3 linked regions of the Sus scrofa genome follow. The protein of the gene in region 2 interacts with the protein of the main gene of each other region in a biochemical or structural test. Links are inferred from orthologs where the notes say so. Each region holds a gene or a part of one and is shown on either strand. Other genes may lie near its edges.

Region 1 (5,764 bases), on a different chromosome or scaffold from region 2:
CCCGGTGCCCAGGCCCTGGGCATCCCCACCCATTCTGTCTCCCCCACCTCCACCCCTCAGGGCTGGCTACGCCATTATAAATTTATAACAGGAATTTCTCCACAAGCCAAGAAAAACTTGACCTACTTTCTTGACGGCTCCCTGGGCTTAGGCTCCCCGCTCGCACACCCCCCCCCCACCAGTGTCTCCTGTCCGGCCCCCAGTGCCCGGTCCTGGTCGGTGCGAGGATCAAAGGCAGAATGGACCACGCTTCTGCACTCTTGCCGGGCTCCCCAGGCGGGGGGCTGGCCTGAGCGCAGAGGCCCTGTCCCGCTCCCGCTCCCGCCGGCCCTGCCCAATGGCCTGGCTTATCTCTCCTTTCCCCTCCCATCCTGGCTCCTTATCAGTTCCTGGGGGTGGGGCCTGGGGGCCCCCGGGGCAAGGTCTCTGGGGAAGCAGCCACAGGAGGGAGGTTGTGTGTGGGGAGCTGCGCCTCTTGGCCCCTCTCACGTGCCCACACCTGCCTGGGTGGGCAGTCACCGAGCCTCAGGTGTGTAGCCTAGGGTCAGAGGTGCAAACCTGGAGGGAATGGTCGGCCCAGGTGGGCGGTGCCCTGGACCCCAGCTGGCAGAACAAAGCTAGCATTGGCGGCAGGCTGTTTGCAAGCTGTGTGAACTTGAGTGAACGGGCAAGCTTTCCGAGGCTTCTTTTTCTCACCTGCGAAGTTCTGATGCCCACCTGGGTGGACATATACTCTCTATTCCCTTAATGCCTGTTGGTTTCCTCTCGCCCTCCCTGTCCATCCCAGTGGGTGGCAGCTCAGCTAAACCAACTGGGAAGTCTGGTCCTCAGACTGGGAAGTGTGACTTGGGACCTTGTATGGGAAGCTCCTTGGGGGGCCGGGGTTGGAGAGGCCTAAGTCGGCCAGCAGCAGGGGAGGTCGGCTGGCTGCTCTTTTCAGCATCCCTCTCCATTGAGGCCCTCAGGTGGGCGCTCACACTTCCTTCACCGGGACCCCCCCCATGCCTGGGCTGAATGAAAGCTGCTCATCTCTGGTCACTTCTTCTTCTTCTTTTTTTTTTTAAGGGCCACACTCTCAGCACATGGAGGTTCCCAGGCGAGGGGTCCAATCGGAGCTCCAGCTGCCGGCCTCCACCAGAGCCACGGCAACACGGGATCTGAGCCGCGTCTGCGACCTGCACCACAGCTCACGGCAACACCGGGTCCTTAACCCACTGAGTGAGGCCAGGGATCGAACCCGCCTCCTCATGGATCCCAGCCGGGATCGTTAACTGCTGAGCCACGGAGGGAACTCCATCTCTGGTCACTTCTTTCCCTGTGATACTAACGACACCTTGGCTGAGGGGTGGTAACAAGGGCTGATGTGTAATAGACGCGTATGAAGGGGCCAGGCCCTTGCTTGACTGTGAGGCTTGAGACGTGCTACGTGGATTACCTCATTCTTTCCCTCCATCCCTTTCCATGTCTGGGGACCGGGATGTGAATCTCCAGCCTTGCCTGCTGTCTGTCGAGCCGAAGGGCTTCCCGGTCCTCTCCCGATGCCTGCCCTCCCTCCATGCCTACCACCATCTCGTGATAAGCCCCAAGAGCCCAAAATGTTGGCGCCGAAGGAATCCTATTCACCTCCTCCCACCACGGCGCCGCCTTATCCCTGCCTCTCTCCTCTCTCTGCAGGGACCTCCGGACAGGACAAGATTCCGAAGCTACTCCCCCAGCCCAGGACCCCCCCCACAGACTCAGCTTGCCCCCCAGCCCTACCACCTGCCACTCCCTGGCCCCCTTCTCACCGCCCGCTCCCCCCTTGGGGTGCAGGGCATGGTGTGAAAGGCCAAGTGCTGAGGCGGGCACCATGGGTGCTGTGCCCTAGGGCCTGGGTGGCGGGGGGTGGGTGGCCTGTGGGTGTGCCGGGGGGGCCAGTGTGCCCACCCCAGTCTCTTGGCGTGCTGGAGGGCATCCTGGATGGAATTGAAGTGAATGGAACAGAAGCCAAGCAAGGTGGAGTGTGGGTCAGACCCAGAGGAGAACAGGTAATGGGTCCGGCAACTAGGTGTCGTGCAGCAGTCGCTGGGCTGGGCCAGAGAGCACTGAGCTTGGGCCTTTTAGCACCCCTGGGGGGATGGGCCTGAGGCCGGCAAGCCTGCTGCCTACCTTTGCCCAGGAGATGAGGTCATGTTCCCATGTGGCTGGGAATTAGGCACCTGGAGGGAGAGATGCCCGTTTTGAAAGGGGGAGGGCGTGCAGCACAGAGTAATTACAGGCAGCAGGCATGCGGCCCCTCCCTTGTCAGTGCTCGGAGTCTCCAATGCCCCCCAGCTTCCCCTCAGCCACCCTCACCTGAGCATGTGGAATCCAAACAGCCTGGCCATTTTCCTCCTCTCCCTCCCAGCCTCTTCACGTCTGACCACTAGTGTGAGGTCCAGAAGCCATGGTGCGTGTGACATGGCATTTCAGGGCACCATGCACCAGTAACTGTTGATCACAACTCACGCTTATATTTGGAACATATTGGGAGCCTCACAAGCTCTTCCTTGTTCATGGGCAAGGGCGGGCAATGCCATGGGGCTCCTCCCAGGAAGTGGAAGTGAATGCCAGCTCTGAAGATTTGCTCCCACGTGGAGGAAGCATCAGCCCTGCACACACAGCTGGGGATGGGTTCCCTATGATCCGCATTGCGCTTCGGGCGTCCAGAGGGTCTCTGCCTCTCCCATCAGTTCCAAGTGGCACAGAGCTCGGTCTCAGTTGGCGTGGTGCCTTGGGAGCTGGGTACAGCCTGTGCCTATGGCCAGGGAGAGGGTGGGGGAGGGGTGCTCTGGGGAGCAGTGTGGCCGTTGCCTAGGAGACCAGATCCTGAGCCAGGAGGCCGGAGGCCTGGCCAGGCAAAGCCCTGGGGCCCAAGATTGGGTCCCTGGAGGGGTGGAGGAAGTGGATGGGGCTGGCAGTTGGGTAGGGCAATGGGGGTATCCCCCCCTCCCCAAGCCTCACCCCAGGGGGGCTCTGAAAAAAGATTTGGCCTGTCATCGTGAAGCTGTCACTTGCAGCCCCTGTTCTTTCCCGCCCACACTTCCATGGGTCTGGGAGGGTCGGCTCCTAATTCAGAGAAAGGCGGGAATGCTTAGTTCCTGTCCCCCAGGACTGCAGCCCCTCCCCGTCAGCCTCCCCTCCCCCATGTCCCCGCGCCACCTTGTGGCTGTCTCTGGGACTGCACCCAGAGGCTTTGCGTCTAGCTAATTGCTAAAGACCCGCAGCTCAACTGGGCTGGGGGAGGTCCCCTACACCCACCCCCCTCCGGAGGCAGGAGGGGGAGATGTGATTCTCCAACCGGTGTAGAAACCAGACCGGGTAATCCCCAGGGGATGTAGAGCACAGAGCTCCCTGTGACTGTGACCCTGGCCAAGGTCACTGTGTCAGTGTGCTGGGAGCTGCATCAGGCTGGGGAGTCGGGGGTAGGGCCCTGCAACATGCCACACACAGGGTGGGGGCGGGAGGTTATACAATCCGTGTGTGCATGTAGAAGGCTTATGTAACCTGTGTGTGCCAAGGTTATGTAACACGTATGTGGGGAGGCTGGCGACATATGTGTGCAGGGGCTGGGGGGTTGCTAACTCCTTATTTGGCGAGGCTTGGGGTCCTTGTCGCGGCTCTGACTCTAGCACACAGTGTCACCAGGCACCAGTGGGGCCTGGGTTTACTGCTCTGTTAAATGGAGGCCGTGGACAGAGTGGCCGTGGAAGTCCCCTCCTTTTCCCATATTATACTTGGTTTAGGTTCTAGTGGGCCACTGTGGCTGTGACCTGAAAATCAAGCGACATGTTCACTGGCGGGGGGAGGGGCATGGTATTATTAGGTGCCTGTCCGGAGGGTTGTGTAACACGTGGGCATACCCTAGAGGTCATATAACACATTTGAGAAAGCCCTGAAAGTCGCATAGATAGAGATGGTAGAGCCTGCTGCTTATTTAACTGTGCTTGGGTTTAAACGGCAGGCGGCGTAGCTCTTCATATGCGCTAGTCTTACGGTGCAGATGTACGTGTGTATTCGAAAGCTTGCATCGCTTTAAGCCCGTCCTGAAGATTCTTTCTGCTTGTGTGTCATGTACTGAAAGCTTAAATAGGTGGCTATCTTAGAGACGATGGGCGCCGAAGGTCCTGTAGCGCGTGCTCATGTGTGTATATAGGTGGGGGCCCTAGATCATGCTTGTGCCCCAGCCGAGCCCCTTATCTCTCACCCAAAGCTTCTAGATAGCCAGACCTTTTCCAGTTTTGTCAGCTGACCTGGGGGTGGGAGGTAGAACGAGGACCCGAGCTGGAGGGAGTCGGGCCTGGGGGAAGACCTCAGCCTGTTGAATGAGAAGGGGGCTGCCCAAGGACTGCTCTCTGATTCTGCCCACTTTGCCCCCATCCAGTGCCAGGTCACCAGATGGAAAGCGAAAAAGAAAGAACGGCCAATGTTCCCTGAAAACCAGCATGTCAGGTGAGCCTGGCTGCGTGTGCTCTTCCTCCCCACCCTGAACCCCAGCAAACCAGGCCAGGGCTCTTCCGGGGCCTGGGCGTGCACCCGCAATTCCTGTGTCCCGTGGGAAGAGCCTCTGAGAGAGCTTGGGAAGGATGTGTCTGGGATGAGAGGGGAGATGCGAGGCGCGCCTCGCCCTTTGAGGATGGGTTTGGTCAGGAAGGGCCTCTTCCCTTCTCACGTAACCCTCTTGCCTGAGGTCCCTGAGGCCAGCTGCTGCTGGCGGGGGCTGCTCCTTCTCCCATATCCCCTGCCCCTTGGATGCAGCAAGAGAAAAGCCCTAACTGGGCAGTCGGAAGAACTGGGATTCTGGTTATCTTTAGGGAAGGGGCTGGACGAGATGACCTCTCGTGTGTCTCCAGGATTCTACCTGGAGGCCAAGAACCCTTCAGGGAAGCTGGGCCAGGGGATGGGCCAGGAAGGAAAAGCTGGGGGATGGAGAAAGCGTAGGAGCCTCTTTGCTGGGGCCCAAGCCATGCCTGCCTGCCTGCCTCCCTTCCTCCCTCCCAGGGTATATCCCTAGTTACCTGGACAAAGACGAGCAGTGTGTCGTGTGTGGGGACAAGGCAACCGGTTATCACTACCGCTGCATCACTTGTGAGGGCTGCAAGGTATGGACCAGCCAGCTCCTGCCCCTCTCCCACCACCTGAGCCCCCCCCCCATCTCGTTCCCTTTCAGTCCCTCAGCACCTGGCACCAGAGACAGCTCTATAAACATGTAACCTAAAGCCTACCTGTTAGAGCATCATTCCTCTTCTCTTATTCATTCATTCATTCCTTCATTCATCCATTGACCATCCCTGCTCTGTTACTCATGGGTAAGATGCCTAATCTCTTTGCGCCTCAGTTTCTTCATCTGTGAAGTGGGGTTCATCATACTACCTACCTCACAGAGCTGTTGGGAGAATTAAATGAGATCGCGCACGTAGAGTATTTAAAACAGTGCCAAGCACATAGGAGGCACTCAATCAATGTCAGCTTTCATTCATCCACCCCATGTGTGAGTGTGAGAAGAGTCGTATATGCCCTGCCCTCAGACTGCTCACAGCCTGCCAGAGAGAGACAGACATCCGTTGAAAGCCACATCAGTCTTTTACAAAATGTAGTTCCTGGACCACCTGCGGTACCTGTTCATTGTAGATCCCCAGGCCTCATGCCAGCCCCATTCAGTCAGAATCTTTTGTGGTGGAGCCCAGGAATCTGCCTTGGAACAGGCTCCCAGTTGCTTCTGCTGATCCTGAAAGGGTGAAGACCA
Region 2 (5,664 bases):
CGTTGCTGTGGCTCTGGCGTAGGCTGGTGGCTACAGCTCCGATTCAACCCCTAGCCTGGGAACCTCCATATGCCGCGGGAGCGGCCCAAGAAATAGCAAAAAAAAGACAAAAAAAAAAAAAAAAGTTGGAGTTCCTGTTGTGGCGCAGCAGAAACGAATCCAACTACTAAGCATGAGGTTGCGGGTTTGATCCCTAGCCTTGCTCAGTGGGTTGAGGATCCGGTGTTGCTATGAGCTGTGGTGTAGTTTGAAGACATGGCTCAGATCTGACGTTGCTGTGGCTGTGGTGTAGGCCAGTGGCTACAGCTCCAATTAGACCCCTAGCCTAGGAACCTCCATATGCCATGGGTTTGGCCCAAAAAAGGACAAAAAGGCAAAACAAACAAACAAATAAATAAAAGTTTAAAACTATTCTCCTTCCTTAGAGATGTACACTTAAAGTTGGAATCACAAAACTACCTCCAAGTGGGGATGCAAGTTCAAATAATATATGTGCTATCTCAGTCCAAACTGCCTGAATGAGAAAGCGTAAGAAGATTAGTCATGTGGTACCTGAGCAATCAGAAACATGAAGTCTGGGCTTATCCAATATTGTTTTACAAATACTTTTTAGTCATTCTGGTTCTATACTCTTTGTCCTCCTAAGTTTCTTCTTATATTCAACACATTGTTGACATTTAATCTGTATTGATTAAATCCTGGTCTTTAAACACCACACTATAAACCAGAGTTCAGACACTGAACATAAAAACAAAGTTAACATGTACTACAAAGAAATTTTAAAAGTTGTATTTGTTCAAAATGCCATGTGCCTTCATGCCTTTGTACCTATCACTTCCTTTGTCAGAAACATTTTCTTTCTTTCTTTCTTTTTTTTTTGTCTTTTTTGAGGGCTGCACCCCTGGCATGTGGAGGCTGCCAGGTTAGGGACTGAATGGGAACCGTAGCTGCTGGCCTACACCACAGTCACAGCAATGTGGGATCTGAGCCGCGTCTGCGACCTATACCACAGCTCACAGAAATGCCAGATCCTTAACCCACTGAGCAAGGCCAAGGATCGAACCTGCGTCCTCAGGGATGCTAGTCACATTTGTTTCTGCTGAGCCATGATGGGAACTCCAGAAACACTTTCTTTAGTGTCCATTCACTAACTCAGGGGTCAGCAAACTATGGCCATGGGCCAAATCCATTGCCATTGCCAGCTTGTAAATAAACAGTGTTTGGAACACGGCCATGCTCATTCATTCACGTATTGTCTATGGCTACTTTGGTGCTACAAGAACAAAGTTAAGTAACTGCAACAGAGAACATACAACCTGCAAAGCCTAAAGTATTTACTATTTGGTTCATTTCAGGAAAAGAAAAACAAACAAACAAAAAAACCCCCAAAAAACCCTGCTAACCCCAGCTTTACCTCGTTTCATCTCCTTTCTTCAGGTGTTTCTAGATTTTCGAGACATTCTACCTACTTTTGATATGTCAGTTATTGCCCTGAAAGAATAATTATTTATAGGTCCGAAACTAAGAGGAAGAACTAGGACTTATATTTCTCTGTATATCCTTGTGGTCCACACAATGCTCAATAAATGCTTGCTGAATAAATCACAAAAACAAACCTGCATGCTGGACATTTTGATTTGCTTGCAGCTGAGGGGCTCCTGAATTCCCAGGGGTAGTTGCTGTGGTCGAAGGCACCTGACCTTGCATAAAGTTCGGATTGGCCTGTCCTGCTGAGAAGCCAGGTGGGAGGCGTTTAGGCATTCCTTAATAGAAAACAACGAGTAAGGCAGTTACCTAGCAAATTTATACTCTTGCTTAGATGTGGAATGAATAAGGAAGGATGAGCTGCATGAAGCCTCCACTGGCTTAGCTCTCTCTGTCACACTGGTAGGATCTTTAATAATAAGGTTGGGAAAGATGGTTAAAAAAATCAACACAATCTCTTACATGAGCATTGTCAAAATGAAAAAGAAATACTAAAAAATTTACACTTAGAACATGCCAAGGAAAAGATGGCAATCTGCTCCCTAAATGTGATCTGAGGCCACGTCACAGCAAGGTTTAGGGCTCACTTTTCTCTGTGATACTATGGACCCCAAAACTTTACATACTTTAACACAGGTACCAAAGGAATACGCTAAATTCTCTTATAGTCAAATAAGCTGACAAGAAATACTATAAAACAAAGACCTGGGTCCTGATATTAAGCATAGATAGATGACTTCTTTTCCCCTCCATTGAGGGAAATGAATGACAATTTTCTTTATGGAAAATTTCTCCCCAATATTGTACTTGTCTCTTTGGAAGAGACAAGAGATTAGAAATAATTCAAAGGAATGTCAAAGTGACGATATGTTAAATTTATCATTACACCTTCCCCTCAAATGGTTTGCTGCAATTCTGACAGCTATAGTACCAAAAACTGCTTGAACAGAATCTTACTAAAGTAATACTTTCTTTCATAGGAAGGTTTAATTTAAGAAAACAAAATTGTAATAAGAATCTCAGAATCCACTCACTGTTTATAACAGGCCTGGATGTGGCCAGATCACCTAGGTGAGCATATCATTTGCTCTATGAAAGCATCAAGACCTAAAGCTCACTTAAAATTTTTTTGTGTTAGTCCATTTACTTAAGGGCCAAATTTTCAATGTCCTGAAAAACGCTCTGTAGACAAATATGCATTTGTCCTTTCTTTAGCAGTGACAAGTCCCCATTTACATGCTTCCATTGTAGTTAAATCAGTAATCACATTTGCAGGAGAGACTACCCAGCTTCCACTGATCCAAGGCTAGTTGCCCAGAACAGTGAAGTTTGGAGCTGAAATATTCTTGCATTTTCTAAAAACTTCTTAGGATTCAAATATTATAGCCTGCATGTCAGTAAAAGTAATTACAAGAGAGTGAAAAGACTGATGAGCAACTTAATTTTACCAGAAATCATGGGAACATGCCTTTGCTATGTTGCACTAAAGATGCAAGGATTTTTTTCTGGGTAGGCAATGGGTGTCTTTTGGTGGGGGTATGTTTATCAGATGATAGTATTCCTGATACTCTCTATACCTTACTGAAAAGCTCCAAGCACATTCATGTGCACTAGATCAATGATTAATAAGAATAAATAATAAACATGGAGATGGATAAGTTTTACTGTAATCGTTTTACCTCTCACACATTAAGCTCCATTGCTTTTTCTTCATACAAGAGGCACCTTACAAAATAAATAAATAAATCTCCTTTAGGTATAACTGGTGGAATTCCCTCTCTAAGGAGCAGGCATTGGCATTATAAAACTATAAAAGTCAATGATTCCTGAACTTATTCCCCTTTAATACTTTAATCAAATTTAACAAATACCACGCTATCTACTAACCAGGATTATCAAAATTGAAAGCTAGACGGGCCTTTTCCCCAACAAACCCTATACTTATCTTTTCATTTTTGCTCTATTACATAATCTTAATTTTTTCAACAGCTGAGCAGCTTAAGTTGTTAATAAACTCATGTTTCTTCTGGATGTTTTAACTTACTACTACAAGATCAAGCAAAAATATTTTGAAAAAGAAAATGAACATCTCTATATTGAATTTTACCTGTTTTTATCCAGAGGGCTAGCTTAAACATAACCAGTAAGATGCTGCATCATGCATCAAGTTAACTAAGTTATATAATCAAATGCCATCACTGCATCCACAGAAACAAATAATTACATCCTTATTACACTACCCTCAATTAACTCTAAAAATTGAAGTTCTACTAAGATCTATCTCCAGTAAATTCACCAACACAAACAGCTTCAGTGTTCCTCACCTCCTAGGCCTGGATGTAAACTCTGTGGCCCCTGATTTGGTGCTTGCTGCTGCATCACCATGAAGTTAGGTGGCACGTTTCCCTGTTGAACCATAGGATTCCGACCTGGAGAGCTGACAGGCTGCTGAAATCCCTGGGGAAGTGGGTTATTTTGAGGTGGCCTTGGTCCCATCTGCTGCTGAGTTTGGTTAACTGTTGGGGAGGATGCAGGGGATCCCTGCTGGAAGGAGGAGGGCGAGGAGGCAGGAGACTTGTTGGTGAGGTGGGGCTGCTGCAGGGGGGTTGGGACCCGAGAGGGTCCTCCCTGCAAGCTCTTCATCTGAGGAGCTGTGAACTGGCCTGGGTTGCTCATCTGAGAAAAGTTTGTATGGGCTTGTGAGGCTTGCTGGCTGCCAAAGGGATATGGAGGGGGAGGGTGGGAAGGTGTCTGTACCGTGGCTAAGGATGGTCTTGCCTGGAGTTGCTGTTGCATTGGGCCAGGCAAGGGAGCCTTCTTCCACCCTTGATTTCCAGTCATTGTGCCCAGAGAACCCTGGGCTGGAGGAGGCTGAAGGGCTCCCGAAGGCAGCTGATTCCAGCCTGGAGGAACAGGCACCTGAGTTGGGGCAGTAAATTGGGGTCGAATTCCCTGTGGCTGTTGTTGCTGATGTTGCTGTGGGGGTCTTGCCTGCAGCTGCTGCTGCTGCTGCTGCTGTTGCTGCTGCTGCTGCAGCTGGGGAAAATTAGCTGGATTTATTTGTCTGTTCACAGGGACAGGCTGCATTGGGTGGTGTGGGGGAGCTAAAGATCCTGAGGGATGACTTTGCTGCTGTATATGGAGCCCAGAGAGGAGTGGATCCATTGCATCTGTTTAAAGATAGTCAACAAAGCAATAATTAATTTACTACAACCTAGATCCCAGAGCAGTAGTCTTGGCAATTCTGCAAATATACAGTAAAATCTGCTGGTACCATTCAATGAAATGTTCATGAGCATTTACTATATGCAAATCCACTGCCAGGATGATAGAAAGACAAATCTTATTTAAAAAGAGCTTTTAATTTTAAAGTGGATATAAGAGTCAAACATTAAATATAGAGAGCAATATTTTCCAAAGCATATTCTGAGGAACTATGTTCATTAGAGTTTTAAGAAAACAAATAATATAGTCAATCAGGTTTGGGAAACACTGGTTTCTTCACTGTAGGACTTTCAGTGCCTCCAATATGTTAAACTTTGAATCTCTGGGAGGGAGGATCGAGTAGAATACATTAACCAAATTTGCTTCACTAGAATTCTAGGTCATGGAATAGCAAGACTAAGCAGGTCAAGGAATACATTTTTTAGGAAGGATGGGGTATAACCCATAAGAGAATAATGAGAAACTCTGAGAAGAAATTCTGAGAAGGAAATGGTGAATTTCAGTTTGAAGAAACTATGGTAGATTTTATAAAAAGGATGGCATTTAAGCTGGGGAGTTAGGAATTTGGCATCAGACACAGATGAATTTTGTAATCTGTGCAGGGAGGTCCAGCCTCTTCAATTCGCAGAGTCTGGAGGTCAATACCTGACTGAGAAGCAGGGCGAGGAGTCCTGGGCTGTAGATCTGAATTGGGGCCTGGTGCCATCATGGAAGATGACATGTTTCCACCCTGGGGTATCATAACAGTGGCAGGGTTGGTCATCCTTATTAATCCTAGAGGAAAAAAAAAATCTCTAGAATACAGTATTGGAATTGGCACAATGATTATTTTTAATGAAGTATTTTAAGGATATAAAGAGGTATGGAAAAATTTTATACCACCATCTATCTTATTTATATCTAAACATTCTACGCTGTCTCATTCAGATATTTACGCAGATACACCAGAGCCTC
Region 3 (4,388 bases), on a different chromosome or scaffold from region 2:
AAAATTCCCATATCAAACCACTCATGTGACAGGCAAAATAAAAATTAAAAATTAAATTAGAAAAAAAAAAACCAAAAACAAATACTCAAACTTTCCACTTGGAAATCTAAAAACATGACTCTATACAACTCTTAGATTAAGAGTGAAATCAAAATAGTAAAATGGACTAGAAAAGAACTATGAGAGTATGATTTACCAAAGCCTATGGGGTAAAATGAAAGTGATATTCAAAGGAAATTTTAGAGCTTTAAACTCATCTATTAGAAAACAAGAATTACTGAAACTAAATGAATTAAGTGTTCAAACCAAGAAATGAGAAAAAGAAAAAAAAAACTAAAAGTTAAAAAATGAATAACTAAATTGAAAACCAAGTGCAATAAAAAAAAAACAGTTGATCACTAAAAGCAAAGTTTCGCTTTTTCAAAAAGCAAAAAATAGATAAGCCTTTGGCAAATCAGATTTTTAAGTGAGAATACACAAGAAGCCTTCAGTTAAAGGGAGGTATAAATAAAAATAAAAGAGGCTATCTTGTACAAATCCATTCCAATATAAATTACTAAAATTTTACTTTGTAAGTAGTAAAAAGCCTGAATAAATTAAAAGCTATAGGAGGAAAAGTAAAGATACTCAAAGATTTACCACCAGGCTCAAATGGTTCTGCAAATGAATTCCAAAAAAAACCATCAAGGACTAGATCATCACTACATAGAAACAGAAGGAAAACTTCTCAACTCAGTCTGTAAGGCTAGTTAATATTTATTACCAAAACAGGCAAAGGATGGCACAAAAGAAGACGACTCTGGACCACTATCCCAATTTTAAAAACCCTAAATAAAATATATAGCAAATGAATGCAAGGGTATAAGAAAATCTATTAATATAATTCACTACACTAGCTTAAGATAAAACTATATGGTCAACATTTTAGGTAGAAAAACTTGAAAGCATTTGATGAAATGCAACAACATTCCTAACTAAAATTAAAACCTTTAAAACTCTGGGAGAATCTGGAGAAAAACATATCCACCATACTCTAGTAAATACCATACTTGTGGTAAACCATTAGAAGCATTTCCTTCAAGCTTAGGAATAAAATAAGAATGCTTCCCAGTACTGCTACTATTTACCGTATTAGCATTATTAGCCAATGCAGTATGGCAAAAAAAAGAAATGAGAACTATAAACACTAGAAAAAAAGAAATAAATAAAACTTATGAACAAAACAAATAATAAAAATATGATTATTTGCAGATATAATTGTCTATCCAAAAAATAATTTTTTTAACCCATGATACAAACTGTTTGATTTGAGAAGAGTTTAGGAAATTGGAATAGATTCAGTATAATAAAACCTAACTTTTTTCTAAACATCAGCAGGGATACATTAGAAAATGTAATGAAAAAGAAGTATAGAATACTAGAAAGGAAACAAGTAAAAATAAAGAATACTGGAAAGTATTTAAGAAGAAATCTAAAAAGACCTCCATGAAGAAAAAACATTAAAAATTTAAAAGTAATCTAAGCTCACCATTTAAAAGTTCAAATAAGGAAAGTATAAAGAAGAAAGTGAAATCTACCTGCATCCTCACCTGTCGAAAGAGAAGCCTCTGTTAAAACTTGGTCTATCCTTCCAAAAGTATAACAGAATTTGAAAACTATGTCTCATCTCTTTGAAAAATGCATATGCTATGTTAAGCAAAAAGAAGACAAAGTTTATTTTAAAAGTGTGTTGATCCTGCTGTTTAGCACTGGGAACTCTATCTAGTCACTTACGATGGAGCATGATAATGTGAGAAAAAAGAATGTATATGTGTATGTGTGACTAGGTCACCTTGCTGTACAGTAGAAAATTGACACAACACTGTAAACCAGCTAGAATTGAAAAAATTAAAATCATTATAAAAAAAATGAAAGTGTGTTGAAAGTTGTGGTAAGAAAATAAGATTATAAAACATAGACTCATCAGGAAGGAGCAGAAGTTAAAAATGAGATTTCTGAGTGAGTAGAAATAATGCCAGCAGAAGAATCTGCAATCTGGGAAGTGATTGCCATGCCACCACGTTCTGTCATCTGGTCACACAGATTTAGTCCTACGGGAAAAGAATGGTCTTGGAAAAAGCTCTGATAGTCTTGGGTTTTATTCCTTTTTTCTTATATGCAGTTCTTGCCAACTCTCTGCTTACCTCCCCTGCCCCCATCCTATTTTAGAACCAAAACAAAACCAACAAAAAGTCATTGGCCAGAGAATTTTATACCTAAACCTCCTGTTCTGTCTTCCATTTCTGCTCCCCCAGACCGCCCAGGTTTGCTGAATGTGAAGCCCATCGAGGACATTCAAGACAATTTGCTGCAAGCCTTGGAGCTGCAGCTCAAGTTGAACCACCCAGAGTCCTCCCAGCTCTTTGCTAAGCTGCTCCAGAAAATGACAGACCTCAGACAGATTGTGACAGAGCACGTGCAGCTGCTGCAAGTAATAAAGAAGACAGAGACGGACATGAGCCTTCACCCACTCCTACAGGAAATATACAAGGACTTGTACTAGCAAAGAAGTCCACGTTCACCGACAACATTCTCCTTCTTCCAATTGCACTATTATTTTGGGGGAAAAAAAATCTGACACCTAAAAAAAATTACTGTGAAAAAGCGTTTGAAAAAGAAAAGGTTTTAGAATAATAGATCTATTTTATGCATATTGTTTATAAAGATACATTTACAATTTACTTTTAATATTAAAAATTACCACATCATGAACTTGCTGGATGTCTTTGAAGACTGAGTCTGTTGTGTCTCCCATCACCACTCCCCAGGTATTTTTTTCCTTTTATCTCCTCCCTCTTCCTTCCTTTATTTTTCCTTTTTTCTTTCTTACAGTGTGAAACAATGTGAATGGGATTGCTGATCAATTTCCATTTTCAGTCAAGTTTTTTACTCCATTTACAATGTTTCTGAACCTTGTAACTGTTTTAAAAATCACAACTAAGCGAGGAATTTCAGGACTGAAAACTACTCAGAGCATGTGTTTCTTAACCTGGATGGACTAATGTTGACCATGTCCCTAGGCTTACCAAGAATTCAGTCTTCTTCCCCAGCCCCAATCAAGATTTTCACTCACCAACAGCAGCCCTCTAACAGGACACCAAGGCACAGACAGATACCCACTGGAGGGTATTAACTGCTAGATGCTGTAACACAAGTGGTATAAGATGTGGCACCTGCCAAAAAGAACTTATTATTGAATTGAGGGGGGAAAAAAAGATTAATTTTTCTCACAAACAGATTAATATGTACAGTATAATCCTGTGCCAAATGTATGGTTCAGACTCCAAGTGCTCTGAGTTCAAAGTAAAGATTAAGAAGATTGGAAAAGTCTTGAGTGATCATAAATTCATTCAAGTGGGCCTCAAAGGATGCGTTTTACTTGAGATAGGTAGAGAGTTGGAGAGAAGACATTCTAGGAAAGCAAAACCACAGAAACAATAGCAAAAGGAAACAAAAGCAAAGCAAAACATGAGTGAGGGAGAAGGGCCATGTTCTGGTCTCAAGCAGTTTTGCTGTACATCTTCCTGCCTTCCTTCTTGGGACCACTTTGCCCAGGAAGCTCTGACTTTTCCAATCTCAAAGCCTAATTATCCGTTTAGGGGAGGCCAGCCTCCCCAGCAACTAGATGACATGGTCCCTCAAAGCAGGAATCTTCTTGGCACAATTAATAGATTTGTTGCTTGATGCCACAAAGTTCATTAGCATTGCTTATCCATGAACACACATGGCAACTTCCAGGAAGTCCTCGTAAGCAAACCATGCTGAGGTCTCACTTGCTTGTTTCCACCAACCTAAATGATCTCCCTTCCGCTTCTCCCTGCATTTTCTCTCTCCTCGTGGCTTTGGTACTGAGAAGGACATAACCTTACATTTGAGGTTTTCAAGCCAAAATATCAAGAAAGACCTTTTCGTCCTTTACCCCCAGATAAACAGATCTCAGTTTACAGAAGTGTGTCGCGACCCTAGCCCCAAACCTGCAGGATCCCTAGCCCTTTAGAAAAGACAGCTCCTGAGCTCAAACCTCTAGAACCACAGGCACAACCACCTTATTGGGGACCATCGGACTGAGGTCGTTGTCTAAGTGACATCAGAATGTGGGCAAGGAAAGTGACCAATTCAGTACAGCATAGGGCTCTTCCTTCCTTGATGTCAAACAGCAGCATAGTTTGAAACATCCACACATCTGGCTTCGTTGCTCTTCCACGTGGAGAGTTTATCTTCCGGGGATGTTGAGAGAGCAAGAGGGTGCAGGCAGTGGACAAGGTGAGGATCCCACCTCTGAGGAGATCCCTTGTTTACAAGAGGGCTGGAACAAAGAACCTTTCAGCACGCTGCAGCCAGTCCAAACC

What was found.
Region 1: the proteins of NCOA6 (region 2) and THRA form a complex in vitro, tested with the Homo sapiens proteins (2 studies listed by BioGRID). The link is inferred for Sus scrofa from reciprocal best matches to the Homo sapiens genes NCOA6 and THRA.
Region 3: the proteins of NCOA6 (region 2) and PPARG interact in a test that uses a peptide from one of them, tested with the Homo sapiens proteins (2 studies listed by BioGRID). The link is inferred for Sus scrofa from reciprocal best matches to the Homo sapiens genes NCOA6 and PPARG.

What each region holds. Positions count from the first base shown.
Region 1 is NC_010454.4:22,281,235-22,286,998, reverse strand, and holds the start of THRA (thyroid hormone receptor alpha), read left to right. Parts: upstream 1-1,838; 5' UTR 1,839-1,974; coding exon 1,975-2,027; intron 2,028-4,402; coding exon 4,403-4,470; intron 4,471-5,019; coding exon 5,020-5,120; intron 5,121-5,764.
Region 2 is NC_010459.5:38,144,492-38,150,155, forward strand, and holds part of NCOA6 (nuclear receptor coactivator 6), read right to left. Parts: intron 5,485-5,664; coding exon 5,356-5,484; intron 4,656-5,355; coding exon 3,810-4,655; intron 1,764-3,809; coding exon 1,617-1,763; intron 1-1,616. UniProt on the Homo sapiens protein: Nuclear receptor coactivator that directly binds nuclear receptors and stimulates the transcriptional activities in a hormone-dependent fashion. Coactivates expression in an agonist- and AF2-dependent manner.
Region 3 is NC_010455.5:68,431,197-68,435,584, forward strand, and holds the end of PPARG (peroxisome proliferator-activated receptor gamma), read left to right. Parts: intron 1-2,294; coding exon 2,295-2,542; 3' UTR 2,543-2,751; downstream 2,752-4,388. UniProt on the Homo sapiens protein: Nuclear receptor that binds peroxisome proliferators such as hypolipidemic drugs and fatty acids.